Lepisosteus oculatus: one gene and its partners. The protein of the gene in region 1 purifies or fractionates together with the protein of each later gene. This does not show direct contact. Links are inferred from orthologs where the notes say so. Each region holds a gene or a part of one and is shown on either strand. Other genes may lie near its edges. The genes, in order: eif4g1a, hnrnpd, mknk1 and pdcd4b.

The links.
Region 2: the proteins of eif4g1a (region 1) and hnrnpd purify together in Homo sapiens (affinity purification with western blotting; 5 studies listed by BioGRID and IntAct, with this or other methods). This does not show direct contact. The link is inferred for Lepisosteus oculatus from reciprocal best matches to the Homo sapiens genes EIF4G1 and HNRNPD.
Region 3: the proteins of eif4g1a (region 1) and mknk1 purify together in Homo sapiens (affinity purification with western blotting; 3 studies listed by BioGRID and IntAct, with this or other methods). This does not show direct contact. The link is inferred for Lepisosteus oculatus from reciprocal best matches to the Homo sapiens genes EIF4G1 and MKNK1.
Region 4: the proteins of eif4g1a (region 1) and pdcd4b purify together in Homo sapiens (affinity purification with western blotting; 3 studies listed by BioGRID and IntAct, with this or other methods). This does not show direct contact. The link is inferred for Lepisosteus oculatus from reciprocal best matches to the Homo sapiens genes EIF4G1 and PDCD4.

The regions. Positions count from the first base shown.
Region 1 is NC_090708.1:18,070,198-18,077,441, forward strand, and holds the start of eif4g1a (eukaryotic translation initiation factor 4 gamma 1a), read left to right. Parts: upstream 1-4,136; 5' UTR 4,137-4,341; intron 4,342-4,347; exon of another isoform or gene 4,348-4,764; intron 4,765-6,880; exon of another isoform or gene 6,881-6,900; intron 6,901-7,244. Other genes in the region: psmd2 (26S proteasome non-ATPase regulatory subunit 2), read left to right, coding at 25-207.
Region 2 is NC_090698.1:27,393,644-27,401,407, forward strand, and holds the start of hnrnpd (heterogeneous nuclear ribonucleoprotein D0), read right to left. Parts: upstream 3,080-7,764; 5' UTR 2,843-3,079; coding exon 2,685-2,842; intron 705-2,684; coding exon 536-704; intron 1-535. Other genes in the region: hnrnpdl (heterogeneous nuclear ribonucleoprotein D-like), read right to left, coding at 5,605-5,675, 6,409-6,573, 7,049-7,151, 7,486-7,617. UniProt on the Homo sapiens protein: Binds with high affinity to RNA molecules that contain AU-rich elements (AREs) found within the 3'-UTR of many proto-oncogenes and cytokine mRNAs.
Region 3 is NC_090704.1:3,495,397-3,502,542, reverse strand, and holds the start of mknk1 (MAP kinase-interacting serine/threonine-protein kinase 1), read left to right. Parts: upstream 1-3,919; 5' UTR 3,920-3,977; coding exon 3,978-4,028; intron 4,029-5,049; coding exon 5,050-5,112; intron 5,113-6,074; coding exon 6,075-6,198; intron 6,199-7,146. UniProt on the Homo sapiens protein: May play a role in the response to environmental stress and cytokines. Appears to regulate translation by phosphorylating EIF4E, thus increasing the affinity of this protein for the 7-methylguanosine-containing mRNA cap.
Region 4 is NC_090699.1:39,632,325-39,639,769, forward strand, and holds the start of pdcd4b (programmed cell death protein 4b), read right to left. Parts: upstream 3,206-7,445; 5' UTR 3,191-3,205; coding exon 3,137-3,190; intron 2,984-3,136; coding exon 2,923-2,983; intron 953-2,922; coding exon 647-952; intron 1-646. UniProt on the Homo sapiens protein: Inhibits translation initiation and cap-dependent translation. May excert its function by hindering the interaction between EIF4A1 and EIF4G. Inhibits the helicase activity of EIF4A. Modulates the activation of JUN kinase.

The DNA of each region.
Region 1 (7,244 bases):
TTCATGTGTTTTGTGTGTCTCCAGGCGGTGGATGTGGTGGGACAAGCAGGGAAGCCCAAGGCCATCACAGGCTTCCAGACCCACACCACACCGGTGCTGCTGGCCCATGGGGAGAGAGCCGAGCTGGCCACCGAGGAGTACTTGCCCGTTACGCCCATCCTGGAAGGCTTCGTCATCCTGCGCAAGAACCCCAACTATGACGCCTAGAACTCCCTCACCCCCTATGGGGGCTCTCACTGCCCCTGGACTTGTCTCACTCTCATTCTGTTGTATTCTGCCCCCTGGGCTAGGAGAGCCATCTCCTGAAGAAGGAGACCACAATGCTGCGAGAGGAAAACCAGCACCCACAGATAATGCGTTTTGGCAGATGTTTATCATGTTTTTTTTCCTTTTGTAATAAGCGCATGAAATGCCAGTCTGTTATAACCAGAATTATTTTTTTTGTTTTGTTGGTTTTGTTACAGTACTGTTAAAGGTTATGTAATAAATTTATTTCTGGTCCACTCTCTGGACTGTGAAAGTTTGTTTCGGTGTGTAATTGAAGACCATAATTGAGGGGCTGTAATGTCAACAGAAAAATTATTTAAAAAACCCTACAGAATTTTATGAATGCATTGTGGACTGTCATAAACAAGGTTTGCAGTGCACAGGCAATGTTTTGGACTTGCAATAAAGTGCTATGTATTTTTTAGCATGGGACAATTTGTCAGTAAATCCATGTATTAAATATTCTAATAAAATTTCTTGTTCTCTAATTGCTTTCAAGCAGAGGGTTAAAAACTTTCAGTGTCCATTCAGTTTCGTAAAGTTTCCCAAGTCTAAACTTAATTTGAATACTAATTTGTTTCTGCTGTCATTCTGCATTGAAAACCTGTAGGTGTACTTATATTGATATATGCTGCGCTTAGTGTTCTGAGGATTTTTCTGGTACATATGGTGTTAATTTACTATACTGGTTTTCTGACTTGTGAACATCCAGTTAACCAGGTGATCATTTTAATTATATTTTCCTGCTTCCTCTGTGCTTGTCACAGAAGTTTTTCAGTGGAGCTTTGAGTGAAAGTTAAAATTAGAACATTAATTTTGACTGCTAAATAGACTTATGTTATTTTTTTATATATTTAACATAAGAGAAAATTCCTTGAAGTTTCAGACTGGAATGTGGAAGAATGTAATGCTCTCGCATACAATAGCTGCTGGCATGTCTGTGATGTTGCACATATCTCTGGGTAGAACTGCTGTACAGCCGTGCTGAAGGTCTCAGTTCCTCTGCATCCTCTCCTGTGTACATTAGAGCAGTACTCCTGATCCTGGAGTGCCAGAGCCTTGACAATTTTATAGGTAACCCACACTCCTCAGTAGCTACATTATAACTAAATTGTGATTAGGTCAATGACTCACTTTCCTCACATAATTCTAGATTTTCTTGCTCTATTCCACTCCCCTAGCAACCCTCTCACTGTATCACTGAAAAGGGTGGTGGCACTGGTTTCGTGTGTGCTGACTTAATCCTGCCTTGTCCACTCTCTTCTAACACCTTCGAGTTTCATGCTGTTTATCACACTGGGTGGAGTAATGGTGAGGACTTCAAACTATAAAAGGATGTGGATTCAACACCCAGGTGGGACACAGGTGGGTATTGAGAAAGGTACTTCTCTCAAGTTGGTTTAGTGAAGCGCCCTGTTGTATTCATGGGTAGTTAGTAAATGATAGCTTGTTCTTAACCTGCCAATCAGCTGATGTTTGTGTTACCATTTCCTAGCTGGGGTTTCCTAAATGAGTTGAAAGGCTTCCTCTCATTTATAACTTGTAATCAATTGATGTATGTGTCCCAGTCCTGTTGTTGTTTCTCCTGTCTGTCTGACATGTCAGAATCATGACTCTGGTACCCCTGAGTGGAAAGCAGTGAGGGGGTAGAAGACTCTTAGCCTTTATGCATGATTTGAACCATTGTGTGCCAGTGACTGAGCCTATGTCTCTGTTCTGTGACTGAGGAGACAAACCTGTTGGCCTGCACAGAAGCTGCTGTTGGTAAAGAACATTGTCTGGCCTGCCAGTTTACAAAATCCTCTCTACAACCCCCAACTTTTAACAAATTACACTACACTGACACTTAAGAAACCTAAACACTTAAAGCTCTATCATTTTGCTCATTGCAAATAGTTGGAATAGTGCTGTAACTAAAAACTAAGTTTGTGTGTAACCATGTCTTCTGTTTGCTTTGTGAACCCAAAAGCATATTGGTGCTGTTTTCCGTAGCTTAGCATTAGGGTTAGTGCATTTTTATCTTAGGATCACCAGTCCATCGTACTCACAAACACTAGGACTGCTTAAAGATGCCAGTTAACATAGGCAGCATGTCTCTGGGCTGCGAGAGTAAACAGGATCACCTGGAGTAATCCAACAGGGTAACTAGGAGAAATGCAGACTTCACACGGAATCACCCCAAGCCAGAAGCAAACCCTGGAACCAGGAGCTGCAAGGCAGCAGTGCTAACCATCACACTACTACGACACACTCATTATGTGCTGTTATGGTAGTTTAGCATTCGGAAAATATAGGAGATGAAAATGAATCTTCTGAACCCAAAGATCAGTTGCTCTTTAGTCAGTAATATACTTTCATTTAATAAATTTTGAGGTTAGTTTTTGTTCAATTTAACTAAAAACGCACTGGTAAAAATTGGCTACATTGGTCAGCACAGACAAGATAACAGATGAAAGAAAACGTTTCAGCCGTGGAGCCTTCTTCTGGTGTCAACACCTGAAGAAGGCTCCATGGCTGAAACGTGGTTTCTTTCTTCTTTTTTTCAGCATGGAATAAACCTATCACTTATTCCTTTGCAGCCTACGCATGCTGACGCAGCTACCCACCCAAGATAACAGATGGAAAGAAGGGGATGCTGTGACTAGCAGTAGATAAGTCACCTCCAGCTATTTCTGCTGGCCCAAACACTTTAATCATATGTGTGAAAAGCATAAATTTGATGCTTTTTAAAAAGGCAGTGCATTGTTGTGCTCCACTGTCACCACACTGTCAACTGAAGGTCATTCCACTGTGTTACAAATTGTGAATGTGCTTATCACATTTCAAGGAAAAGCAATTCCTGGTGAGGAAAAGCACATTTTTGTGTTGCTTTTATTAAGAAATATAGAGGATATAGAAAGCCTGCACTCAGGTTTTGCTCTTTTGTGGTGTCAGATGTGACACGTGATCAACCAATGGTTTCAAGTAACCATAAGAACTGGGACACATTCACTTCGGGTAAATCTTGGTGTGAAGTGTAGGGTGTAAAATTCAGTATTGGATTGTATACTCTTCTGAGGCAATAACTGCATGGTGTCCACAAACCTCTGATCTCACCAAACTCGTTTGTTGAAATATTTTAGATACTTTGCTGTAGTAACTCAGAGTCAGTGTTCTGAGTTGCAAAATCAGTGCACAACTGGATTTCAACCTGGATCTTCAACCAAGACCTTGGTTGCGTTGGCTGTATGCTTTGGATCACTGTTGAACTGCATGGTATAGCACTGGCGAGTAAGTATGGCAGTATTTTCTTCTTTAAAATCAGATTAAATGTTTCTGTAAACTTCAGAATACATTCTACTGGTGCATTCATTAGTTGTATAATCAATTCTAGCAGCAGCTCTGCCCACCAGCTACTCTTCTATATTATATGCAGTATAGATGAGTCCTGAGGGTTATGACTCAGGGAAAGATGGAAGGAAAAGGGGATATCATGACTAATAGTGAACAAGCCAGCAGCAGCTATTTCTTCTGGTCACTACACGTTAAACCTCAGTTAACCTTCCTGATTTAAGTACCTTTCTGTGGAGAGACAAAATGAGGTTCCATTGAAAACATTCAGACACAGTCCGTGATTTAAAATAAGTTTCAGTATCAATAGTTACATTGACCCCTCAGACATTGAAGGCTGCCCACTCTGTTGCATTAAGAAAATCTATGTGTTTGCAACAGTTGCTACACAGCCCCACCCACACTTGCAAAAAAGACCCAGCAAGTCTAGATCCTATTATGACCTTTTCTGTGAGGTCACATTCAACATTGAACCTGCCCAAATCTAGCAAGCTTACTTGCACATGGTCAGGTAATGCCACGTATCGTTCTTGAGCAAGTGACAAAAAACAACTTTGTTTATTCTCTAAAAAGCATTTTTCTTATTGGAACGATTGGCAGTCTCAGGTCACATGACGAGGGTGAAGAATTCCTGCCGCCCTAGTCACATGACAAGAGTGTGAGGATTCCCATTGTAATTAACCCGGAAGTCTCTCACGGTTTCCGTGAGGCTCCGTCCGGCTTTGCGGACTCAAGGAGAGAAAGGTAATGATATGGCTCTTCACTTCACTCTTTGCTAAATCTGTATCGTGTGGACACATTGCCGTCAATCCGTGTGCATCTGCGCTTTAAACATGGAGCTCCGGCACAGAAGCTCTCATTCGGGACACATGCTCACCCAATAAGATATATTTAAAGCAGTATTGATTTATTTGATTTCTCCTTTTTTTGTTTTTCTCGTATGCTTCCAGGGGATTTAAAACACACTTCTCGCCTAGATCAGCAGCCCCCCTTTCCCCCAAAAAAAGGTTAGGACACCCTCTTTCCCTTGGAACTGGAGCCGAAGAAGCGATTTATAGGTTTGGGGGAAAAAGTGAATAGAAACGGACGAAGTACGGAGACAGAAAAGATCTTTTCTCTGTGAGCCCTTGTTCTGTCCCCTCTCTGCATGTCCTTTATTCACTTTAGGTAAGCAGTCTCTGGGTTTTATTTTCTTCTTTTTTTCCTGGGAATAGCTGTTTAAATAGTGGTTTCATTCCGGCAGTAAAAACGTTAAGTGTCTGTTTGGGGGGCTCGGTTGTTTTATATATTTCGGACTTGTTTTGCTGCTGACGGGTGGGTGAATCGAGTTGCCTTCTGTGTGCATTTTGGACAGAACTGGCATTTCTGGACCGTGTTTTCGCGTAAGCTGTTTGTCGGGAGTTGGCAAACCCGATCTCTTTAAAATTGACTTCTGCAGAAACGTTTTCACAACCGGATTGGCCGTTATGTAGACGCATTTTTTCCCAGTATCCCGGAGACAGTGTAGTTAAAATGTAGCTGGAAGAGCCCGTATTACTTTTTCGCTTGTGAAGCAAGAATATCATTGGGTTGCAGTGCCACAATACTGGAGCCCGACTCGGGGTAGGCCCCAAGCTTTTTAATTATTTATAATGAAAATAAATGGAAATGTCGGGATTTATACTCCGTAAAGCTTGGGGTTTATAATGATGCCTCGCCGGCCTGTGTCACGGAATCTCTTCTTGGTGATTATTTGTTAGATTCAAATCGCTGCGTGTTTTTAAACAAGATCACTGTCTTCTTGGACTGCGTGCATTCACGCAGATGGGGTTGCTACGCTAGGCCCCCTCGATGGGAGCCCAGGCCCTTCATAGTTCGGTGAAGCTCGGCTGCTTCTTGTAAAATATGGTGGGAAGGGGAGGCAAACCACTGAAGCAGAGGGATTGAGATATAATCTTTGAGTAGTTTGGAGTCGGACCTTATTGTTAAGTTTTGCGCCGGGAGTGAAAAGTCGATTTGCCCCTGTTGAGCGCTGATTGGGAGGACCGACCTACCATATGCTCGGCTGAGAGAGACAGCGTGACTTTAGAGAACCGGCTTCCTCCTACTGCTTGGACACGTACTTTAAACGGGTAGATGAGTCAGTGTTTTCGAATTTTTTTAAGGGATCGGTGTTTTTTTTAAAGGGTGGGTATAAGTTTTAAAAATGCTGCGTTCTCTCTATCGGCCAGTGGGGAAACTGCCTTTCTTGACTCTTAAAAGGCATTGCTTGTCACTTGAGGTCGAGACATTTTTTGTCCTCTTCTAAAAATAAAATGCTGTGGGAGGATAAGCGAGTTTAATTGGGTTTGTTGTGTTTACTGTTTACAGTTAATGTTCAGGACGCTAAATTGGACTTCAAACTCATAAATAGGTACATCTGGTTGGAAGTTCGAGGCCTTCACAGCTCCTCCAGTCTCCTCGCTTCTGGCGATTTTTTAAAATGTGTCTGTACGTTTTTCAGAAGTCGAAATTAAGTTTTGCCGGTTTCCATGTTATACTAGGTAAAAACGTGTTTTATTTATTTCGTAGACGATTTTTTCCAAAGGGTGGCCTTGATCGCAATGTGCATTGACATTTCTGATGGTGGGAACTTATTTTTTTCATTGTTTAATGTACTTTAGGGCTTGGTTGAACCGGTTTTTTCGTTCGGTTGACGTTACAGGGTGCACGACCGGGGGTCTGCGTTATCGTGCGTACGCTGCACTGTTTACAGTCGTTTTGAATGACACTCGGTTTGAGAAAAACGGGAACGTGTTAGGACGATACATCTGCTCGGGTATGTGTGTTTATCCTTATTATTAATTGTAGTAGTATTAGGGGGCGAAAAGACGGACACGGCTGAGTTGTCATTAAAGTTGTGGCGCTTTGCTTTCCCCTTCTCTGTGAAATAGTGACACGTACCGCGTATGGAGAGACTTATATACGTCTTTCTAAATGGCATTACGATATCGATACGGCTCACAACCACCCTTATCCCCCGAGTTCGAGCCTTGTTTGTTTTTGTGGAGTTGGTTTCGAGAGTGAGACGGGGGAGTTATTTTCTGAAGCGGGCCCTTTTTTCTGAAAGTCGAGTTTTCCATCATGGCTGGCAGAGATGGGGGGGATGACACGTTGAGTGTGCCGAGAGGGAGGCCGGGCACTGCGGGGACCAATCCGGAACTTTTAGACCTCTCATTTTAGGATTTGGACACGATTGCTTAACGGACTCACCTTTACTGACCCTGTTGTTGGACAAAACCGTTTAGGCCTCTGTTATTTTGCAATCGTTTTGCAATCCAAGAGGTAGGTTAGTTGTTTCATTACCGTAAATTCACCGAATTAAGCGAAGCTAAATCGCATTTGGCGTATGAAGAGAAGTTTATCAAGGCTGCGGATCCTTACACAGTTTGGGTAGCAGATATAGACATTTCCCGGGGTGTATTTTTGGGGAGTGAAAACGACACGTTGTAACACTGCCGTCCTGGTGAGAGAGAGAGCGGCGTTCAAGGCCTACATAGTAAGGTCGTGAAAAACTCGCGTATTTCAACTTAGTTCGGCATGTGATAGTGATATAAATGGGAAACGGGCCACTTCGACATGTACGGTGTCCCACCCGACTAGGGTGGGAGCCAGGAGGCGTTATTTGA
Region 2 (7,764 bases), on another chromosome or scaffold:
TTCCATTTGTTCTTTTGAAATAAGCACCCATTAAAAGCAAATATTAGAAAAAAACATTTCTTGATTAGTTCTATTTTTTTTTCAAACCATAAAAATAGCTATGGTTTTCCTAGGCATACAAATTATTTGCTGATCAAATCAGGAATGTAAAATGTAGGATCATGGACCAAAAAGACATTTCTTTCATTTAGCGTATCGGTAAATTATACACAGTATAATATGCTTAAAGAAAGATATCCTCAAGAAAAAAAAAACATTTGCACAGGACTGAAATCAGCATTATATGCCCATTAAAAAATAATCTGTACTTTTATATAACCGTGTTGGAAAATCTCTACACATCTTCGAAATGGAAAGTGCTTTTAGAACAGCAGTTCTTTGTGAGTAACTGGTAGTAAAATTGTAAGTAAGTAGTAGCTGTAACCACTATAAGCTAGTACCTTCACAATGCAGAAATGTTTGAGAGAGCCTGTGCATTTACTATGAAGGCAATTCTAGCAAATTGGCAGCATGCTAACCTCAGAAACAGAAATACCTTATCAACGCTGTCAGCATCTTTAAATAATACAAAGCCGAATCCTCTGGACCGTCCAGTCATGGGATCCAGTTTTAGTGTGCAGTCTACTACTTCTCCAAACTTGGAAAAATAATCTTTCAGGTCCTTCTTCGTTGTATCCCAGCTCAACCCTCCAACAAACATTTTTCTGTTAAAGAATTAAAAGTACATTAAAAACAATCTTTTTAAGGATGAAAAACATAGGAACAGGTTTACATGCAACCACATGTGCACATACCATATATGGATGTATTGTTTAACAGTGTCTTGGGTGCCATACCAGACAATGTGTTAACATGGTATAAGCATCACATCATGCTCTTATGCTGATGCAGACACACATTATAATACAATTGGAACAAGTAATAGGTTTATTCCATGCTGAAAAAAAGAAGAAAGAGAACACAACGTTTCGGCCGTGGAGCCTTCTTCAGGTGTTCACCTGAAGAAGGCTCCACGGCCGAAACGTTGTGTTCTCTTTCTTCTTTTTTTCAGCATGGAATAAACCTATTACTTGTTCCTTTGCAGCCTACGCATGCTGACGCAGCTACCCACCTGAACTTATAATACAATTGTTTGCCTAAGTGAATTTTGTCTTCGAACAGCAAAGTGGTGCAGTAGTAAACATTGCAGCCTAGCAGTGCTCGGTCCCTGGGTTCAATTCCCAGAGTACTATCTGCGTGGAGCTTGTATGTTCTGCTCCGGTTTCCTCCCACAGTCCAAAGGCATACTGGTGGGTTAACTGGCTTCTGGAAAATTGGCCCTGGTGTGAGTGTGCGCAGTGTGATAGACTTGTGATAGACTGGCGTCCCATCCAGGGCGTACCCTGCCTTGCACCCGTGCTACTTGCCAGGATAGACTCCGGCTCCCCTGCGACCCCGAGTCAGATAGAGGGGTTAGAACATGGAGGGTGACGACGCTCTGAATGGGATTCCAGACCACTGCAGGGCGCAAAGACACTCTAAATGTAAATACTACAACTCGTATAGTCAGTATGTCTTTCTTAACTGGAAGGAAACTGGACCACATGTCAAAATTTACCTGAGCAACAGCAATAATGTGAAAACTCCTCCCATATAACACCCCTGCCCAGAACTGAACCCAGGACCTATGGCACAGCATGCCACTCGCCTTGATAACACTTCCTAAATGTTGTGCTTAAAACCAGATATCTTAACAGTTTACACACCGTGAAACTACCTAGAATACTGATTTGCATTCCTGAGCACTTAAATACCTATCTAGACAGTGCGATATGTATCAATGTAGCAGGTAATCAAAGTAAATCTACAATTTACAACTGAAAATGAAATTGGGGTGAGGTAGTAACACTTTTATCCGAGTTAAGTAATCACTGCGTCTGCACCGTAAACGTTTTAGTCAACTGAAAAACACAAGAAAAACATTCTAAGTATACCTATACCGTGACTCTATATAGGGTGCAAATCCTCAGCAAGCATCACTCACGAAACCGGTTGAGTCTCATGAGGACAAACCGGTTTCGCTTCAGATAGCTGACACTTGGGTGTGACCCAGTTGAACCACCGCGCGGTTATTCAGGTTGCTGACGTTACTATACCCACTCTGTACGATACTTAAAAAGCCATGAACTGTATAGCAACTTCCAGAAATACTTTCCACACCAGGTAGAAGTGTGTATCAGTCATAACACTTCACTGCCAGTGTTCTCAAGTGCGTTTTAATACCGTTTAAACGCCCTTAGATTTAATAATGGTCTATAAACTATATGGCACCAGTTGATCCCACTCTGTTATAATGTCGTGATTATAATGGACTGCGATAAATTATGCGGTACAGCTTCACGTTTTGGAGTACTGTTGCAAAAAGAAAAACTAATTTTCCGCAGTTTACTCCAACTGGAGTACCAGACATCGCCAGCTACAGCGAGACATTTTATATTTAAAAACAAAGGTTTCAGCGTCACTCGAGATTGCTGTTGTACATTACGGATTACGCTGCACAACACAGATTAATGCAGCACACGTTACGGGACCCATTTGTCGATGACCTGTCTCTGTGGTAGCATCGTCAGTGACAGTACTGCCCGCAGCCCCTTGTTCGCCCTGGAGACTACAGAGTCCGTGTCGGGTCTCCGTCCGTCTCTCACCCTTCATCCTCCTCGTTTTTGCTGGCGTCGATCTTCGATCCCTCGGACTCTGAAGCCCCGCTCTCTCCGGTCGCCATCTGCTGCTCCTCTCCGCCCGCCTCCCCGTCTTCCTCCATCTTCACCACCGGGTCCTCTCCGACTTGGTGCTCCTCCGACATTTTTTTATTGCACAAGAAATAACTACCCTTGGTATATTTTCTCAACCGGTTTGCCTTTTACTCCAGAATGAAATGCAAACGCGTGCTGTTTGGAAGACGCACTAATCAAGTGAAAGAGGTCTTACGCTGGCAACAAGGGCCAGTTGTTTTTCTACTGTTTTTAACAGTTATTTCAATACACGCAGTGCTCTTTGAATCTTAATGGCGCCGCTTACAAAATGGTCGCAGGAAGGAAGCACTCGTCGACGTTCGGCATGGGGCCAATCGGACAAGTATGACACAATCGCAGGCAGCCCTCTTCAGGGGAAGCGCTGTACTGCGCCGTTCATCACAGTCGCTCGGGTCTCAAGTTTTTCTACCGCTTGAAATGCAGGTCACATTAAATAAACTCATAACACTCAACTAGCGCTCCCGATTAATAGAATATGTGTCTTCTTATGATGAGAAATTAAAACGAAAAGCTCGACTTTTCAAGCTAAAGTGAGATTTTTCCGGAAAAGTACTTGATTATCCAGATTAATAGAGTGAAGCCGAAACAAACCGACCATTTTTAGACCGCGTAGCATTGAATGTGCCCCGCTTCTCAAAAGGTAGAGCTGTATGTCCTGGATACAGCTATTTGACCTAATTCAATTTCAATGAAACCTGCCTCCTGATTCCGCGGGCCGTTATTATGAGCCAAGGGAACAAACCGGACCTTAGCATGTTTACCTTTATATAGGCCGCAGTCTTCGTAAAACCCGCAACCGTTTGTTTCAGATTGCTGTACTTAAAGTTTTATTTAGTGTACAGTAAGTCCCTATACTGGCCTTTTGCCCCGATATAAACCATCGGTGAGCCATCTACTATTTAAAATGTTCTAAATGAGAAGTATCAAGTTCAAAAACATCAGAGAGAATTAAAGTTTACAATTTACGTTGAGTAAATTACATTAAAAGCCAACTGAAAAATTGAAAACGTCTCAACTTGACGGCAATATATTCAGAGGAATTTCAAAGATGTTTTAAAAAATCATTTGCATTTATAAATAATTCCACAATCAAAAACTTGGTGTAAACGAATACTTATCACAAAAATCAATAAAAGCTCAAAACATTAAGTGAAACACTGTTTTGAGATTAAGTATTTGAATGGCTACTGAACAGTGCATTTAGTTCCCAAAATAATCACACCAGGATCATTTTTGTATCCATACTCTTTAATTCCCTTCATGGCTGCAAAAAACACAAAATAAAAAAGCATAAAAATGTAAAGACCGCTTTACAAAACAAACAAAAATATATTTCATTACAACACCAACATGGCAAGGAATGAATGAGCCAACTCCAGCAACAAAACTTGAAAGCTTCTATTTACAAACAGACACCTGCTGGTGCCAACTTTGCCTCTAATTTAGAAAACAAGGTCATCTTAAAATAAAAACAGTTGTTCTTGATTTAAAAGGACTAGAATCTCTCAGTTGCCACCAGGGTAACAAGCAGAAAACTCATCTGGGCTCCTCACCTGAAAGAGAAGAGACAGCGCACATTAATTCCATGTGTCCATGCACTTTAAAACCGAAAATTAGAACACGGCCAGGTTTCACTGATTAACCTCTTGTGCTGCCAACTTTAAGCTATGAAGTTCTCTCGTGTTAAGGATCATATGTATCACACTCAGCTTGGCAGAAGTGATACAGCCAGCAAAAGCTTAGGTGTAGCTCCATTTCTAAAGCAGATGCACTTACCACTGAAGAGCAATTCATAACCACCCCCCCCGCCCCCCACTACTTTTGAACCCTCTTTCAGGCAGTTACAAATTGAGGTTAATAGTGCACACAGTTGACCTCTACAGAATGGCTTTTGCTGGCTTCAGTAAGCTTCTTTACATATGATCCCGAACACCTACATTTTTAAAAAAAGTCGTTATTTTATCATTTGAAGGTTTCTCTACTGGCTATAAAGAAAAAGCAAGCATTAAAAGTTTAAGCAATTTAAAGTTTATTTTAGAAAACAAAAATCACTGAAGGTCCAGAACTGAAATACAAGAACGACACTAAAATAAAAACAGAATACAATTAAACAGTTAAGTCATTTAAGATTAAACACAAATCCTGCAAAAAACCATTTACACAAAAGTTAAGCCGTTGTCAAATAAAAAGGCAAAGTCTGAAGTTTCCATTTTTTTATTTATTTTTTTATCTTTACGCTGGTACAGGAAGTTGGAAGAGACCATACCACAGGACAGCGTTTTCTTGTGCATGCCGTGCTCTCTGCCCGCTATGTGCGACGCCCAGAGAATGACGTGGTCAGGGTGACACACGGCCTGCAATGAAGTTCCCGCTGGCAGGTACAAACAAGGTACAACATCAGAGTTAGGAAGAAGGAAAGTAAAGATAGGCCCTTAATTTGTACCCTTTAGCAGTACTTTACCTGTTAATATTGCTAATAAGTCTCTTTATGTTACTTCCACATGATCACCTGTTACAAAAATCAAAGGAGAAAAGGGAGGAAACCTACAGAAAAACCCTTACGTTTTTCTGGAGAACTAAAAAAAAACTGCCAGAGAAAGCATGGCATATTAAAGATCTATAGACAGTTGTTAAAGAAAAAAATGAAACATTCGGGATGATGTTCATGGCAATATTTACCATTTTAAAGTTTGAAGGAGGTTTTTTTTTTTTTGAGTTGTCTATTGATCTTTAAAATTATTAGAAGTCAGCCAAGGGGTTAGGATTCAATTTACCTAAATTCCTTGAGCAGGTTTTCCTTTAGTTTTTCTTTTCAGTATGGCTGGTAGTTATTCTGGTGATTTCCGCCTCCTCTTGAAGCCTTCCCGTAACTGCTTTGCTGACCTAATTAAAAATAAAAGTTGTCATTTACTTCAATAAACATTAGTGCATCATACAGAAATTGTACACTTTTTGCACCCTATCCTTGGGGAATTCAAGTAGTGGCATGGACAAGTACCATATAAAAAGGTACAAAAGATCTCTGAATAAATGTCTATACAAAGTAATTTTTTGTACAAGTCTCCACACTGAATATACCTACTTTAACTGCTTCCACCAGTATTTCTTCATACATACTTTAAAATAATCACAGAATGATTTGAACACTTGTGTAACATGTATTCCCATATTAAAATTAACAATTTTCAATATAAGCTTAATTTTAAGATTAAAGCATGAATGACAAGGAAACAATCCAAATCCATAACCAAATAATGGTAAAAATTACAAATCCGGAAGCAAATCAATTTATTGGGAGTTATTAATGGGGATTATGCTTTAAAAAGATTCAAATGGTAAATTTGCCAACAAGGGCCCAAGTAACAGTAAGTTATTTTAAACTTCAAATTCCCCCCAAAAAATCGATTTGCTGTACTGAAAACTTCATAGTGACCATCTGCTATCATATAGACCTAAGAAATTTGTCTGCGTAAACAAAGCAAATAAAAATCCAAGGCAACATTACTGATCTTCATTATTGTACATACTAGGCCGGTTATGTGCTTTTGATATAAAAATACACAGTAATTTTATAACTTAAACACTCGGGTGATTTGTAATGAATAGTTCTGCTTACCATTGTAGTCGTCATATCCCTGTCCATATCCATAGTTATTATAGCCGTACCCAGAATAATCATAGCCGCTGTAGTCATTGTATCCTTGATTGTACCCATTGCCGTAGCTTCCATAATTCTGACCATAGTAGCTATTATAGCCTTGGTTATAGTTTTGACTTTGACCTGTGATGGACAAATGAATACATGTTCAAAGTGAGCAATTTGTCAAGCACAGAACTGCCAGATAATTCTTGAGAAATCAATTCAGATGTAATGATACAGAAAGGAACAGAACTCCAGAACGCCACGTTCTAAGAACAATTAGACGGGATTACACTAATTCTGTAAAAGCAAAAGATGTATTTAAGCTTTTAGCATGATAAACAATGTAGTTGCACTTTAAAATGTTCACTGAATACTGCCGACAGTGAAGTTTCCAATCCAGATTAACCTTCATGCTGCAATAACCAAGATTTAGCAAATCATTTGGCTCTTGATTTTGTACATGTACTTCGTATTCCACTTGTGACATTGTGCTAAGTATTGTGAAACCTGCAACCTTTTTAAATATGGATGTGTGGATTGTAAAATGAGCACCTGGAATTTAGGGACAGCAGAAAAAGAATGATAGAGTTTAATGAGTAAAAGTGGAACACACCTCCCCGGCCTCTTCCTCTGGAACCTCCTCTTCCAAAGCTGCCCCTGTCTCCTCTCTGCTGCTGCCTGTACACTTCTTTGGGTTGGGCAACCTTTATCTCGCACTGTGTACACAAACACCAGAACTGCGTGAACAAACTGTCAACAAGCCAGACAAACTTCTACGTGCACTCAAAGTTCTGACTTGAGTACAGTTCTCATGAAGCATGTTCATACAGTCCACACAGGACAAGACATCAGTTAGTCCACAGTTACCAAGTACAATAATATTAAGAGTTCTCGTATTACAGCTTCATGTGCAGATGGAATTAACATTTCCCTTTCTATTCCCTTAGCTACAGAGACAAAGCTGCCTAGGCCAATCAGTCATTTGAGAATAAAACCAGTTACAATGAAGCGTGTTCGAGTAGTTTTTTTATCCAGATCAAATCCAAGTACCTTTCCTGATCCAACTTGATGATATCTGTTCTCCAGAAGCTTCTGAACAGGGTCTTCATCTACGTATGTTACAAAGCAGAACCCCCTCCTCTCATTTGTTTTGGTGTCCATGGGGAGCTCAATGCTGTCAATCTACAAACAGAACAAAAGACACCTCGTTTATCATTTGGAGCACCAATTCAAAAACCAGACAACACAGGTGTACACAATTTACGGCTCCAACACACTTTATGACTTTAAAAAAGTTAAATATAGAATGACTTGTACATCTTTCTTTCA
Region 3 (7,146 bases), on another chromosome or scaffold:
TCAGAGACTCCAGAGGTCTTCAGAGTCCATTCCCAGGACAGTGGGTCCCAGGATACAAAGAGGAACCTTTCTCCTGTGTCAAAGGTGGAGGAATGTCAAATCTGCTCTGGCAGAGTTCAAGGTGAATTTGTTGAACCACAATTCCATAGTAGAACCACAGCAGAATTATTCTTAAATTCTTACAAAACTGGGGGTCCTGACAGAGAGAGATTTTGTGCTGTCTACCTTGGACCTGCAGAAAAACAAAAAACGTACATTTCTTTTCTTCTTTCTTAGTGACGGGGTTCAATTGACTGGTCAGGTTATCAAATTAAACCTAAACCAGAAACTAAAGTAAAATAAGTATATCTAAGTGTAGGTACTGTGCAGGACTTGTTTGAAAAATAATACATTACTGAAGAGGTACAATCTGCACCCCGGTTTTGCATTTGAATATCATTTCATTCCTCTCAGTGACAAAGAGAGCTTCAACAATTAACAGCAATAAAAGCTTTTTGTAAATAGTGTTCTGATTTTTATATGACTTTTTACCTGTATTTTCAGATGATGCATTTTACATGATGATCTTTTCAGTAAAACTGATTTATTGTACAGACCGAAATTGTGTTTTGTTTTATTGTTGATTTGACCCTCCTCACTTTTACTCTCTTATATTGACTGCTCACTGAATACCTCTGAATTGAACAGGGTTAACATTCTGGTGCTGTTTTACTGTCCCAATTACAGAAGTGACAAATGTACACTCTTATCTTTTTAATGTGGTGGGTGCAGAAGGCTTTCTAGATGGCTGCCCTCTAGTGGTTCAATCTGAATGCTTTTCTTAAGGTCTGCTTTGAACCATGTGTAGATTAAGTTGTTTTCTTATACCCTCCTCGACTCGCTGTGCCACATTTTATCTCATGTGTTCAAGTGTGAAAGCCTAAGAACTCCTTTCTCTGGCCCACTGCGAAAGCTCTATTGACGTATTGCTTGTCAAAGTCTCATTTCATAACTTCACCCAAAATCTTTCTGAATATAACTGCATGTAAGACAGGGGTGTCCACTTCTGGCCCTGGTGGGCGGGTGTCATTCCAACTAAACCTCTGGACAAGCTAAACCTGCTAGTTACTGACTTAACTGGACCGATCGATCAGCTTCTCTTAGCTCTTTAGCTGATAAAGCTTTAAAGAGACCTGGAAAACTTGCAAACATACTGATATCAGACAATCCTATCTCCTTGAAAGATGATAAATCCGTGCAGCGTAGACACACCAACAAGATCGAAAATGCAGTTAAGATAAAAAGTCCGTTGGTCCCGCTAATGGCGTTGTATAGGAAATCTTAGACAAATCGCCTAATTTCTTTTCCATGTTTTTGTTGGTTACAATAGGACTGAAAATAGTGTTTTCAGGGAAAAAAACTACACCTGTCAGCCATCTTTATTCTGCTCCATGAGGAAGTTTTCTGTTTTCTCTTTCAAGGCACATTTGTTACGAAGCTGTCAGGAGCAGAAGGCAGCAGGCTGCCTGGTTCAGGCGGTGAGCAGTTTCCTCACAGCACTGATCTCTGAGGCAGGCACCTCGCACTGCTGCCTCCTGATGCCCCATTAGCATGTCAGCTGCACAGCCACATTGCTGTAACGCGTCAGCGCCAGGCCCTGTGAAAAGACTCCCCATGCTCCTTCCCTCTGTCTCTCCCATATACAGGACATGCCACAGACACGCATATTCCAGCTCCACCGCCACTGCTGGGGAAATAGTGGTTAATTTAGTGTATTACTATAAGCACCACTATGGTACAAATATTCTGATATTAAGGAACAACTCCTTAACTCCTACATATGTGGTTCTATGAAAATTGGGAATTTATTGTTTTTTTTATTATTCTGAATGTTCTTTATGATATACTGCTGCTTAGAATTCCATTTCATCTTCTTTAGATTTTGCCAAAATGTGTGGCATTCTCATATCTTTTGCTGTGTAGAGAACTAGACGGAGGAACTCTCTTGAAAAGCACTTTATTCTGTTTCACAGGTGAAATGCATCACAAATAAAAATCTGGACATGAAACTTGTTTTGTTTTTTCTGAGAAGAACAAGTACAATTTGCCAAGCATATTTACTATTGGCAGTCTGAACCCAGGCCTCTATCAGGTGGTTATGAGCTTAATATTGTTCATATACAGTTTGATATAACTTCCCAATCTAATATCTCATCAGAAATATAGAGCATTGACAATTCCTCTCCCACTGCACTGCTCTTGATCAGCACTAATACTGGAAACGAATTCCCCAGAGGTGCCTATAACACGGTTCAGTTTTTCACATTCTTTAACTTGGATGCATTGCCTTTCTGAAGAATTTAACAGCTGTCTAAATTTAACTTAATGTACTTAAAGTGCCCTTCAGCGTCTTTGGAAAATCACGCTGTTGGTAGCTCGAAATACACCACACCCCTGTGAACTGTTGTACTCTAGCTGAAACCTCAGCCAAGCAAAACAGTTCACATTCTTTCTCAGGGTGATTTGGAGCTCCTGTCTTTCCAAGACAAGAATAATCGGGCCGCAAGCCAGCAAGCAACGTAGCTGATGCAAGTCCAGTCTCCAGATGGATGTGACGTATTCCTACAGAAATGTCTGGAAGTTTTGAACTGAAAAGTGTCTGGGTTTCTTCTGCCCTGGAGCTAATGGAAAAAAAAACCTACTTTATAGCTTTAAAAGTTGTTTTATTAGATTTAGTTCTATTGCCACATCTCTCCTATCATCAATTCCTTACCTACTTCATTACTGAACTTGAAAAACAAGTCAGGTCTTTATTTTTTTTTATTTCAGTTCAGGCTAGGCTGTGCTGATAAATGTGTTTAAACAGAAAGACAAAAAAGCAGTTTGTTAGATTAATGGCTAGATTCTTGCTAAGATGTCTCTTAGTTGGTTGCCAGGAAATATACTGGGAAGATGAGCACAGTACCATAACAGGCAGAGGAGTCCATGCAAAAAGATTAGTGTCTTTGATGAACAATTAATTAGAACATTAGTTAAAATGTCAAAAGGCATTAATAGATTTTGAAACAATGTCTTGAATTATATTAAATGTTGGTAGAAAGTTTGTCAGGATATTTATCCTGCCTCAGATGAGTTAGGACTGAGACAACAGGAAAAACAGAAAGTCCTTCTCGGCACATGTCATTGTGTGGGGCTTCCTGTCTTATTCCTGGAGGGCCAGAGTGCCCGCAGGTTCTCATTTCAGCTCAGCTCTTAACGAGCTCAATCAGCTCGTTACTGGCTAAATGAGGCCAATTGAACAGCTTGAACAGGTGCTAACCTGCAGAACCTCACGGGGAGCCCAGAACCAGCGCATTTTGCATATAAGCATTAAACCACCAGTTTCTAAAGATCTGAAACAACTAAACTGGCATCAGCTCAGACAGGTGACTTCTTAAATTAGCTTATTTAAAGATCATCTGGAATAAAATGCTGTGACCCTTCATCCTCAATAGCCATAACATTTACGTGCTTCTAATCTTTATAAGCAGGTAGTGCAGGCACCTGTAAGACTACGTGGATCCTGGGATTGGAGTCTCCTTGTCCCTCTATGTACACTATATAGATGACATACCATACATTGTGGACTTGGTCTTGCTTTTTTACCATGCCTCACACTGTGGCTCTAAAACACCACCCCAAAAGAAATCAAAGACAAATTCACGAGAGCTTTAAAGTCTAGTTTAAATTCACGACTTTTTATAGTATAATTTGGTTTTGTTTTGCGTAATGTACACCCATGTGTAGTAAAGCACTGGGGGGGGCGATTGTTTTTAAAGGCTCTGTATAACACAAAGGTGACAAGTTTCGTTTGCATTACGGAGACCTTACCAAGATGGCGGACAGTGACGCCCATTGTACGATCTGCGCATGCGGAGACAGAGCCCCCGCCGCGGCCGACAGCAGGCGATCTGGAGCAGCTGGACAGCACCGAGGGGTTTGATGTTGTGGTTTGGAAGATGGCGGAGGGTTTGAAGGCGGAGTTAAGCTGCTACGGGCGCAGTTTTCAGGTTTGTGTCTGTTTACGTTGGGCAGGTGCATTTATGTACACCTAAACTCTGATTTCCAGCGTGACTAAGTTTAAAAAACACCGAGGTTATTCAGTGGGCACCGACCGGTTTACCCTGGTGACTATGTGCTCCGTCTTTGGGGTTAACTTCAGTGCTGGACACGTAGTAGTACAGTAAATTCTTACTTATTGTGAGTTTCATCGGTATAGTACGCTTAACACTCTCCTTCTTGATAAAAATGTACTAGACTTGATAAAAATCTGCAGTTTCTTGCGAAACGTTGTTCTGTTGTTGTGTAACCAATTTAGTTATTGCGAAATATTGTAGTTGCCGGCTCGTTAGAGAATACTATATGACGACTTAATGTCTCTGAGACATGATGTATTTATATCAACTAGACTAGGGATATAGTAGCCTGCAAACGTTTGTGAACTAAATGAGGTCGCAACTAGACTAAAATCTGTGACTAACTTTAAATTATTAATATTTCAGTGGTTACATATTGTAGTGTATTTCTTAAGTCGTATATTTCAGATGAGACCGTTTGGTGGACAGTTTGCTTATCCGTGTTCATTGCCCTCTCTAGTTTCTGTTAAGGGCTGTTCTCTTACCGTTACAATGATCACACACAGCCATGAGATATAGATTCTAATTTAATTAAAACACAGGAATTCTGCTGGTCAGGACAGGGCGGTTTCATCTAAGCAGGATCTGGAAATTTACTTTGACCCTTGTCAGCCTGTGTTTGCATGTTCCGGAGGTATGCTTGCCAAGCGCTGTTGTCATGTTGGTCTGGAAAGGGCTTAGTATATTTCCCAGTGCATTTGTGGTTCAATGTGGATGATCTTCAGTGGCGGAGGCAGAAATTGCACTGGGCGGGAAGAGTGCAACCCTAAGCCTTCTCCTGCTGGTTGCAACATGCACACGGCAAGAGATCGACAGACCAGAGCTTGCTCCCTTTCTGACTTCCTGCGTGGAGAGGGTTTCTGCGTGTGTTGAGGATGTGCTTTGTCATTTCTAGCTGGCGGAGATGGTGCGACACAGCAAGATTGCTGAGCTGCAGGCCTTTCAGCACACTCTGCAGGTAAACTCCCAGATCCGTGTTCATCTTGTTCCCGAGTTGCCCCTTGCCTGCCTGCCTCTCATGTGGTTTTATGGTCAACAGAGCACCCTCTCCCAGCAAACACACAGCTTACTAGAGCTGTCGGGAACTCAGGAAGGGCTTCACAGTGTCTAAGACAGTGTCGCCTAGGTCAGACCGCAGAATAGACCACTGTGATGTAGGCTACTTTTTTTTTAACAAGAAGAGCAGCCTAACTTTTTTTGTCATCACCAGGCAAACCTCAAACCCACATGTTCCTGTGCACTAAAAAAAGAATGCCGTTTCTGAGAAACCTGGCATTCTCTGTTACAAGGGCAAAAAGTACGTGAATGAAACTACATGTGCAGTTAGTGTTGAGGGGTGTCTCCTCAGTTGAAGTTTAAGACCTTTATTTCTTCGTGGGGGAAAAATGGTAGGGAAACCTTTTTAAAAATATCTTATCAATGATTGCACATTTTTTCTAATTCTTCCTGTTATGCAGTTTAGAATGGATGCTATGTTTTTTAGAGTGTGGTCAGTTGTGGGGTGGATTAAATTCGAAGAGTCAGGAACTTTAGTGTAAATCTGTTGGGGAAAAAAAGATGTCTGTTTTAACACTTTCATTTCCTTTTCAGTCAGTGTAGCATTATGAGATCTGTGCTCGGTCAGTATTTCATTTGTTATCACCAGGAAGAGGAATAAACCCCGTTTAAAGCAGAAGTGAAAATGCTACTGGGTGTTCCCCTCGTGTGCTTCCAGTTCAGGCGTCTCTTATTCCTCCTGTAGATGTTTCGCTTTCCGCCGTTTCATACCTCTGGAAAGATCCCTAAATTTAACCCCTTTAAAGCAGAAACGCCTATGCCTGATCGCGTGCCGAACATGCAAAAACGAGGAAACTGAATCCGTGTGCTTGCACGCAGTCGTGTTGAAGGGCGATGGTGTTTTTTTTTTTCCCCCTCCTCCAGTTGCAGAACAGCTCCCTGGCCTCTGTCCCAGCTGGGGGGGGCTGTGCGGGACTTGCCGGCCTCCCCCAGAGCTCCGCCGCCACCACCTCCGAGGAGCTGGCACCTGACACGGGCGCCACAGCCGGTAAGAGCCCACCTCCGAGGCGGGCAGTGCCTCACTGCCGCGCATCTCCTGCCTGCCTGCCTGCCTGCTGGGATTCTGTAAATTAGCAAGCGCAGAGCTCACTCGAGAGTGGTACTCCCCCCGCCACTTTGAAATGAGTAGCGGCGTACTTGAGGGATTTAAAATAGGCTGCTTTGTTTAATACAGGAATAATTCTTAATTAATGAGTGGCTTTTTTTTTAAGCAATGGGAAGGACAGACTTCTCATCGGCTGTAAGCTGGGAGCCTGTCAGGATACTGGACGGGATAGTACAGCTTTTGCATGAGGAAGGGTCTCGTTCATGGGGCCGGATGTCATTTGGTGGCATGTTTTTAAATATCATGTTGTTTTAAGGCTTGCGTTGCTTCATGCTTTGCCAATAGGTTCTATAAAGACTTTATTGGCACCACACTACAGTATGTAGCAACATCCTTGCGCATCTACACTGGCGTTTCTCAAGAAATCGGCGGTCTGATCTATAGATATTCCCTTGAAGCTACTATTAGTCATAACAAGGAGGAAGTGACACATTAATAAGAAGTTACCTTTGTTGATTTCGATTTTGGTACTGCTTTTCTTTTGGTTTACGCGAGATAAATAGTTAAACGGTGCTCTTTTTGAACTCTGTTCTTATCCCTAATCGAAGCACGATCAGTTGTCTTGATTCGGGTTAAAATGGACTGGCGCAGCAGTGTAGACAAAACCCTTCAGGTCAGGTGAGGATCAGATGTAACGCATGAAGGCATGAAAAGGCCTCAAGAGCAGCAGCTTTTCAGAAATAATCTGGGCAGATTGGATGTTGGAAGAGATGCGTCTATGTTCCAGGGACTCCACATGACTGAATAGCTTGCTGACCAAAAATTAAATGTTTTTTATTTGAAAGATTTTCCAAGCTTATGAATTAAAAAATGGAAAACGATGGACTTTTT
Region 4 (7,445 bases), on another chromosome or scaffold:
ATCTCACAATTCCCATGATAAGCAGGCATCTGGGCAACGGGGTACATCTGTGCAGCACTTCATTCAGTGACTCTTTCAAGCACTTCGGCACTTGAATAAACACTTTATGCAACTCTTAATTTTTAAATTCACTTGACACTACAAGAAAGGGGGTTTTCAATTGCTCTGATCCCTTATAAAATGCACTACCTGGTAACACACTGAAATCCTGTGCTATTGCATTTGTACGTATGAGCTCAACCCCAAACGGGTACACCAGATGAACAGAAGACCCAACCACTACTACAGCCACCTACAGTGAAACAGAGAGCAATGTAGGTCAAATAAACAGGTTCTGGATATTAGCACCTACTTTCACATCAACTGGATATCACTTATTTTATCTGTAAAAGGTAGTCCAAAATCAAATACATTTTCATCTAGGTAATTGCATCAACTGGGCGTCAGCAAAACTAGCTGTTTGAGGATCCTTCTAACTCATACAAACAAAAAGACATTTACGAGTTTACTCTGTACATCACATCTGGGATTCTTCACCTGCTACTTGATAATCTTATCTTTTTAAAAATTAATGCAACATATTTGGAGATAACTACCGAATTAAGCAGGACTTGCAGAAAAACAGACAAGACTGGCAGAAAACTACCTTTCTTCGGCAGTCCCCTGCCCTTCCCAGACCGGGACTTTCTGTCCAGCAGCTTGCTCTTGGGGCTGGTAGGGGTGACCAGCGGGCTGCGGGTGCTCTCCCCGTTATCGCTGAGGGAGTCCCCCCGGCCAGAGTCTCGGGAGGAGTTCTTCCTCAGCCGCCTCTTGGCCTTGGCCTTCACCCGCGCTTCGTGGATGGTAACTGTGGGAGAGGTGATCCAGTTCCCATTCATCTCATTGTCCAGCTTGGTGGTCTCCACCTTCTCGTCTTCACCAGACGGACTGGAGTCACTCAAAGCTTCGGCTGCTGTAGAAGACAATTCACTCATCAGTCCCACTCACATTTTTTTGTCCCCCCACTATGGAAATCTCAAAAGAAACAGGCTGGCTGTTACCACCTGTACAGATCATGGGTCTTGTTTCAATCAAACTGGCCTCTTGACATTCAAACTCCTTCCACAGATTTCTTCCCTGTGCCTAAACCTTCATTTAAACTTAAGTTGATAAGCTTTCCAGCATAATTCTGTTTGGCCAGAAGGAAAACAAAGATTTGCCTTCTGTGAACCACTGTAGCCAGGAGCCAAATCTATTAAAGCAGAAGAAAAAGGGAAGGAGAAGCTTAAAGCATCTTTATTAACTGCACGTCTTTGAATGTATAGAGTACAGGTCTCTCAAGATGTGCTGAAGAAATCCACTTGGACAAGAGCTGCTCTGCTCCTCACTCAGATGGTACTTTCACGCAGGACAAACATTAAAAACACATACAAATCTGATTCTGGCGACAGTCTAGTGAGGCATCCGACATTAAACTTGCCAGCTGGAATGAGGTCAGTACAGGTAATAAAAGGACAAGTCAAGAACATCAAATTCTCAGGTGTAAAATGAAACAATGTTTTCCACTGTTTTTACCATTGCAGTTAAGATCAGACTTAATTCATTAATATTCCACCATATTTGGTCACACTACTTACTAAACCTTTTGCCATTTCTAGCAGTACAAGGCACAAAGCTAGTCCTACTGGGAAAAAAAAGTCCCATTGCCAAAGATATGCATGGTAGTGTACCACTGAATTAAGTTTGATCTTAAACTGCATCTATTTCTTCAACTAAACATAAAAAGACCTTGGCCAAATGAGGAGATTCACGAAGCAGATTTATGGCTCAGATTTGCTTTCTCCCAATTACACTGACGATGATCAGTTTGCGCTACTGCAAACAAGAGAAAGGTGACTTATCTATTGGACACGATTTTAAACAGGATGTGGACAACATTTGTGGAAACTTAAAACAGTATTTGTAAACTAGAATGCCGTACTACAAATGAGCAGCTGGTTAGTGGCGAGAGCAGCACATGAATTTCTCTGCATGCGTTTTCAAGTCCATCACAGTCAGTCAGGAGCTGCTCCTACACAACACTTTGAGATTAAGCAAAATCAAGCTGTATGGAACTACACACTTCAGCAAAGGACACTCCAGAACAACTGAAAAGACCCCCAATAATCTCCGTAATAAGCTCAAATGACTTTGTGTGAACAGGAATTGCATATGTAAGACTGTGATGTCTGCAAAAGGGCTTGCCTCACTTTAATTAAACATGTCAATGCAAGGTGTGGTTCAGAATTAAACCATACAGATAGATGGTAATTAATGCTTACAGAACTTACTTAACCTCCTTATAGTTTTAGGTATAACTACAGATACCTGAATAACTAGAAGTTAGAGATATGACCCTTTTAAAGTAATGAAAAGAAACGCAAGATTGCAATACAACTCTAAGAGCATATACCATTCTTTTCTTTAGAGAAAAGTGCTCTCCGTAAAAACTAACAACTCAATTTCAGAACCTTATCAAATGAATCGTCACTCTGAAAGCAGAATGTACAATTCAATTACCTCATTAAGTGAAGATCTAACAAGCCGTTTAAAATTAATAAAATATACTCGCTGGCACATGCTGAACTCCAGTCTTTCGTCGTTTCTGAGCTACGTATGGAAGTCGCCGCATTTTGTCTTTCCATCAGCTGGATGTTTTATCAAGTCACTCTGGATGCAAGAGCAGATTCCTTAAACACCAGAGCAGCGTTACCCACCTCTTTCCAACTGACTCCCCAACTTCAGCGACAAATAACAGCCTGTACTTCCTTCGTGCATTTTGCGCCACGGTAATATAAAGTAAGAGAAAGTCCATAACTAACACATTAAAATCCAAGAAAAAAAACATGAAATGTTAAAAAACGAGCTGGCTGTAGGGGGAGTGTAGCAAACGAGGCATCTTACCTACGTGGTTAGCGTTAAGCCAAGCTTCGATTTCGGTCGCCATGGTGCACAAAGCGGTCCGCTGCAAAAGCAAAACAAAAGCCGAAGTTATTATCCTTCCGTCAAAAAATGCAAATTTATCACACTTGCAGACACGGCTTTCCCTGCACGTCGTGTACGTGTTTTTCTAAACGAAAATTCTGCAGGAAAGTTGCAAGACATTGAAGTCACACACTTGTCCGTACATGCCCGGAGATCCTCTGTCCCCCTTTCTCTGCGGGAACAGCATTGTGTCACACACGATCTTGATTTCTTATTCCCTGTTTCCTATACCTTTGAGCCACGGCGATACCCCAGAGCATCATTCAAACATTTTGCTGTAAAGATGATGTAAACGGTCCCCACCATTAGTGGGGTACCACTGGCAAGCTACTTGGTTTCTAGAAAATTCTACGAGTTTCGCTCTGCAAATCCAGCAGATAAATTAAACAAGTACCTGATGCAAAACGTAAAATAATGACAAATGTATACATTACCGTGGATAAACACTGCATTAAATGACCCATTACAGTAAATGCTTAGAATAATGCAGACTAACGCATCAATTGCACTACATTAGCATGATGCCATAATTTGAATGCAGCAAAGCAGGTGCAGTTAATTATTCAACAGCACTAAAAGAAGCTGAGCCATGTTTCTGATTTAACGTCCTTGTTTCGTTTACTAATACCTGTAGTCTTGTACTATATACCGAGTATGCCAACTTAGTGTTAACTATGTTTATTATCTACAGTACTTAACCAACAACAATCAGAGCTTCCAAAAACACCTAATTTCTGTTTTCTTAATCTCGTACATTACAAAATTTGAACAAAAGCGATCATACTTTACAACTGGAGTGCAATGTTATGACCGCAAAAGTATCCACTAGTTGTACTAACCTACTGTGTTCACTCAAACCCAGTCCCAGCTGCAACTTCCAAGTCTCGATTGTTTTTGTTTTCTCTGCCCAGCAACAATGTCACATGATCTCCACCCCTGCATTTTATTGGTCAGAGGAAGGGAGGCGGAATACTTCAACAACCTATCGGAACCACTGCATGTTTTTTTAAAAACTCACTTACGAAAATAAATAAAACAAGTCAATTCCACCTTTTTATGTGCTGCCACCTACAGGTTGGCGGTCCTGTACTACCGCTGCGCGTTAATTAAACAAATCGACTGCATTGTGGTGAGGTAGCCCTATACACTTCTTATATAGGGTTACCAGGTTGTAAGTATCCATTGATAATTACTTCTGAAACAAAACTAGACAAAATAATTACAAAATTTGGATCTGATACAACTTAAAGTACTGTTTCAAAAAGCAGGTTTTCACTACAATGACAAATAAAATGAGGTTTTGGAGAATCATCAGAATTCCTGACATTGGAATTCTGGATATGATTGCACTCTTTTCTGGCGCTTTAACACAAATTGTTTCAAAAGCGTGTAAAATACTTCCGTGATAAAAAGTATTTAACACATGTGATTTACGAACGATGCGGTTACGCATATTAGATTAACAAACCTGCTACTGTATATGCGTCCCTTGTCTTCCATACTGTTGATGATGCATTATTTGCAATTCTCAAAGCAATGTGAAGCAGCACGCATGAAAAGGAAGATGGTCCCATACATACAAATTCTTTAAAATGTATTTACTATGTATTTGAATCATTTTCAGTTCATGAAAATTATTTGCGTAGTTATAGGGAGTCATTAGAGCTTACTATTCAACCTCACAAGAATAACTTTCGGTCCTTGGACTACTCTCTTTTAAGCACCCAGAGCGTTCTTTTCATGCGCGGATTTCTTTTTCTCCGCATGGTAACTTTTAAACCGGATAATTTGAGCACAAGAAGACTGGGTACAACAATACAGAACCCGCAGCTAGAGTGCCTTTCACAATAACCAGAAAACAAACCGTGCTTAGTTATAAAAAAAATAGGTTTTAAATAAATTATACCTGATACACAGTATATTGTGGGGAAGTTGATAAAAAAATCCAGCTGTTTCACATTAAGCAATGAATGAAATGTCCAAAGTAATAACACACATTGAGAATGTACAATCATGTTGCTTAAATTCCTGCATGAGTCTGATTACACTGGATTTAAACGAGTGAGAGAGAAAACAATCCCACTAAAAGAAATTACAAATCAGCAATGGACAGATACAAAAAAGACAGATATTATCTCATATGCAGCGCTTGATCACCTTCAGGCCAGCAGCCCAAGCAGCAGGAAGGCAGCCTGCTCATTAGATGTGACTGGAGCCGGACTGCTCTGGCTCAGCAGTGTACAGTACCACTGTCTCTCTGGGCTGCTCCGCGATGGCGTCAGGCCTCCTGAGGAAAAGGGGGATAAGTGGATCCACGGCTCACCTCCGTGTTGGCGGCAGTAAGAGAGTGAGACTTCCCTTGTCTGGGACGCTGGCCAATTGCTCCTCTTTGCAGCAATGAAGCTGCCATTTACAGAGGGGTCAAGTGGAGCACTGTGGTCAAAACTAAGCCTCATCCAGGTGTAAATAACACTCTCCATGCTGTGACAGGCAGCTCAATAACAGCTCCTCACTGTCAATCCAACGTACAGTGCTCTCTTGGTTCACAGATAAAAAGCAATAATACAGTGTTTTGTGTTTAGATAAACTTACAGATACACAGACAGGTATAGACAGAAAAATGAATGGATTCTTTCTTTGGTTTAAGTTTTAATCTCTAGTAAACATGCAGATTATTAATATTAAAACCTTTCTTTCTTCTTCCTTGCGCTGTGGTTTGTAATATATACTTATTTTTGATTCACTGCATGATGGCCTACTTGTTACCATGGTGACATGCATCCAAGTCTTATGTTACCCTAGATAAATTGGGCCTAATTTCAGAGAATTAATCATCGAAATTTTTATGCAATTGCTTTGTGCAAAATTACCCTCCACATGCATTAAACTTACTTTATAACACATTACATTTTTAAATGAGCTTTTGTTGAAATAAAACAGTGAAGTTGCTTTCAAAAATGCTCAAGTAAGCATATATTTTAACAATGTAAACTGCTAAATCAGTACATTCCCTGCATTTTCAGTGGGAAGAACATTGATTTATGGTGGCAAAGCTCCTTTTGATATAAATAAACCTTGTGTGAAACCTAGAAACTGAAAAAGATAAGGTGGTGTTAAGAAACCCTGACAACGACAACAGTTAACAGTAGAGTAGAAGGGAAGGCATTACATTAATAACATTGTCTTTCAAAAAATTGGCTAGCTACCTTTCAATGTCTCATTTACAAGAAAACTTGTAAATATTTGGTGCACAAATGTCCTTGATAAGGATTTTTATTTTCCACTTTTGGATAGCCTGTGAAAATGAAGTAATTCACAAGGCTTTCATCTTCTGCTTTTACAGCTCAGGGTGTGGACACTATTGCTCTTTTCACACAAAACTGTAAGCCAAACTGTTGTTTTTTTTTTCAAGTTTAATGAGAGGTTCACTTTCTTGTTATTTTCACTAACTCACAGGCTACTTAATTGTAATTATTTCATTTTTTATTGAGGGAGAGCAAATAATTGTGATAGCAATGTGAAAAACATGGGAGTTCTAAGCTCAGTGTCTCAAATGAATGCTGAACACCGTGAATAACAAAATCTTGTTTAAAAAAAAAAGACGTGGTAAGATTTTATGCTGCACAGATTGCCTGTCATTGTAGAAGAGGGTGGATATAAAGTTTTACAGGTGACACATGATTGCAAACAGCTCTTCAAAAGGCTCTGACTAGTTGGATGTCAGCAAGCCACTCACCTCATTTGTTCTTTTCTGAGCTCATAAATCTACTGTAGGAACTGCCAGCTGTCTGTGCCCACTGAAGTATGCTGGTCACAGATCTGTCTCTGGTTACACTGCTTTGGAAGGAAAGAAACACTGGGTTCAAAGCAAGGGAAGATGACACAGAGTGTTATCAGAGCTGTGAAAGCATGAGTCTTTTATATCAAATCAAGAAGTCTAAATTCCTTTAAAGTAACTGTCCTTTGGTACTGTAACATATGATAATGTATTTCAGAAGTCACTACCCCCCCTAATCTTAATTACTTAGTTGAACTAATTATTTGGATAAGAACCATTTTTTAGGTCCAATCAAATAGATGATTGAAAAGACCTGCAGTATCCTGACATTGATGCCTTTATTATTATTATTTTTAATTCAGTACTCTGTTCTATTAAAAGCTCTTTTTGTGTGTACTGGAATCTGCATTGGTTACTAAGCTCATCAACAGCCAGCACTGGAACTTGTTAGTACACAGTAATTAGATTGGTTGCTTACAGATCACTCTCTAGCCTTTCCATTCTAGTGTCTTTTAGATTTAAGACAGGGGAAAGGAAATGCAAAAGCACAAGCACAAGAGCCTTGTACTGAAGATTAAAGGAATCAAATCCATTGCAATACCAAACTGGCTAAGGAAGTTGTGTCTTTAAGACAGTCGTTTCCACGTACTACTGTGTGTCAAAA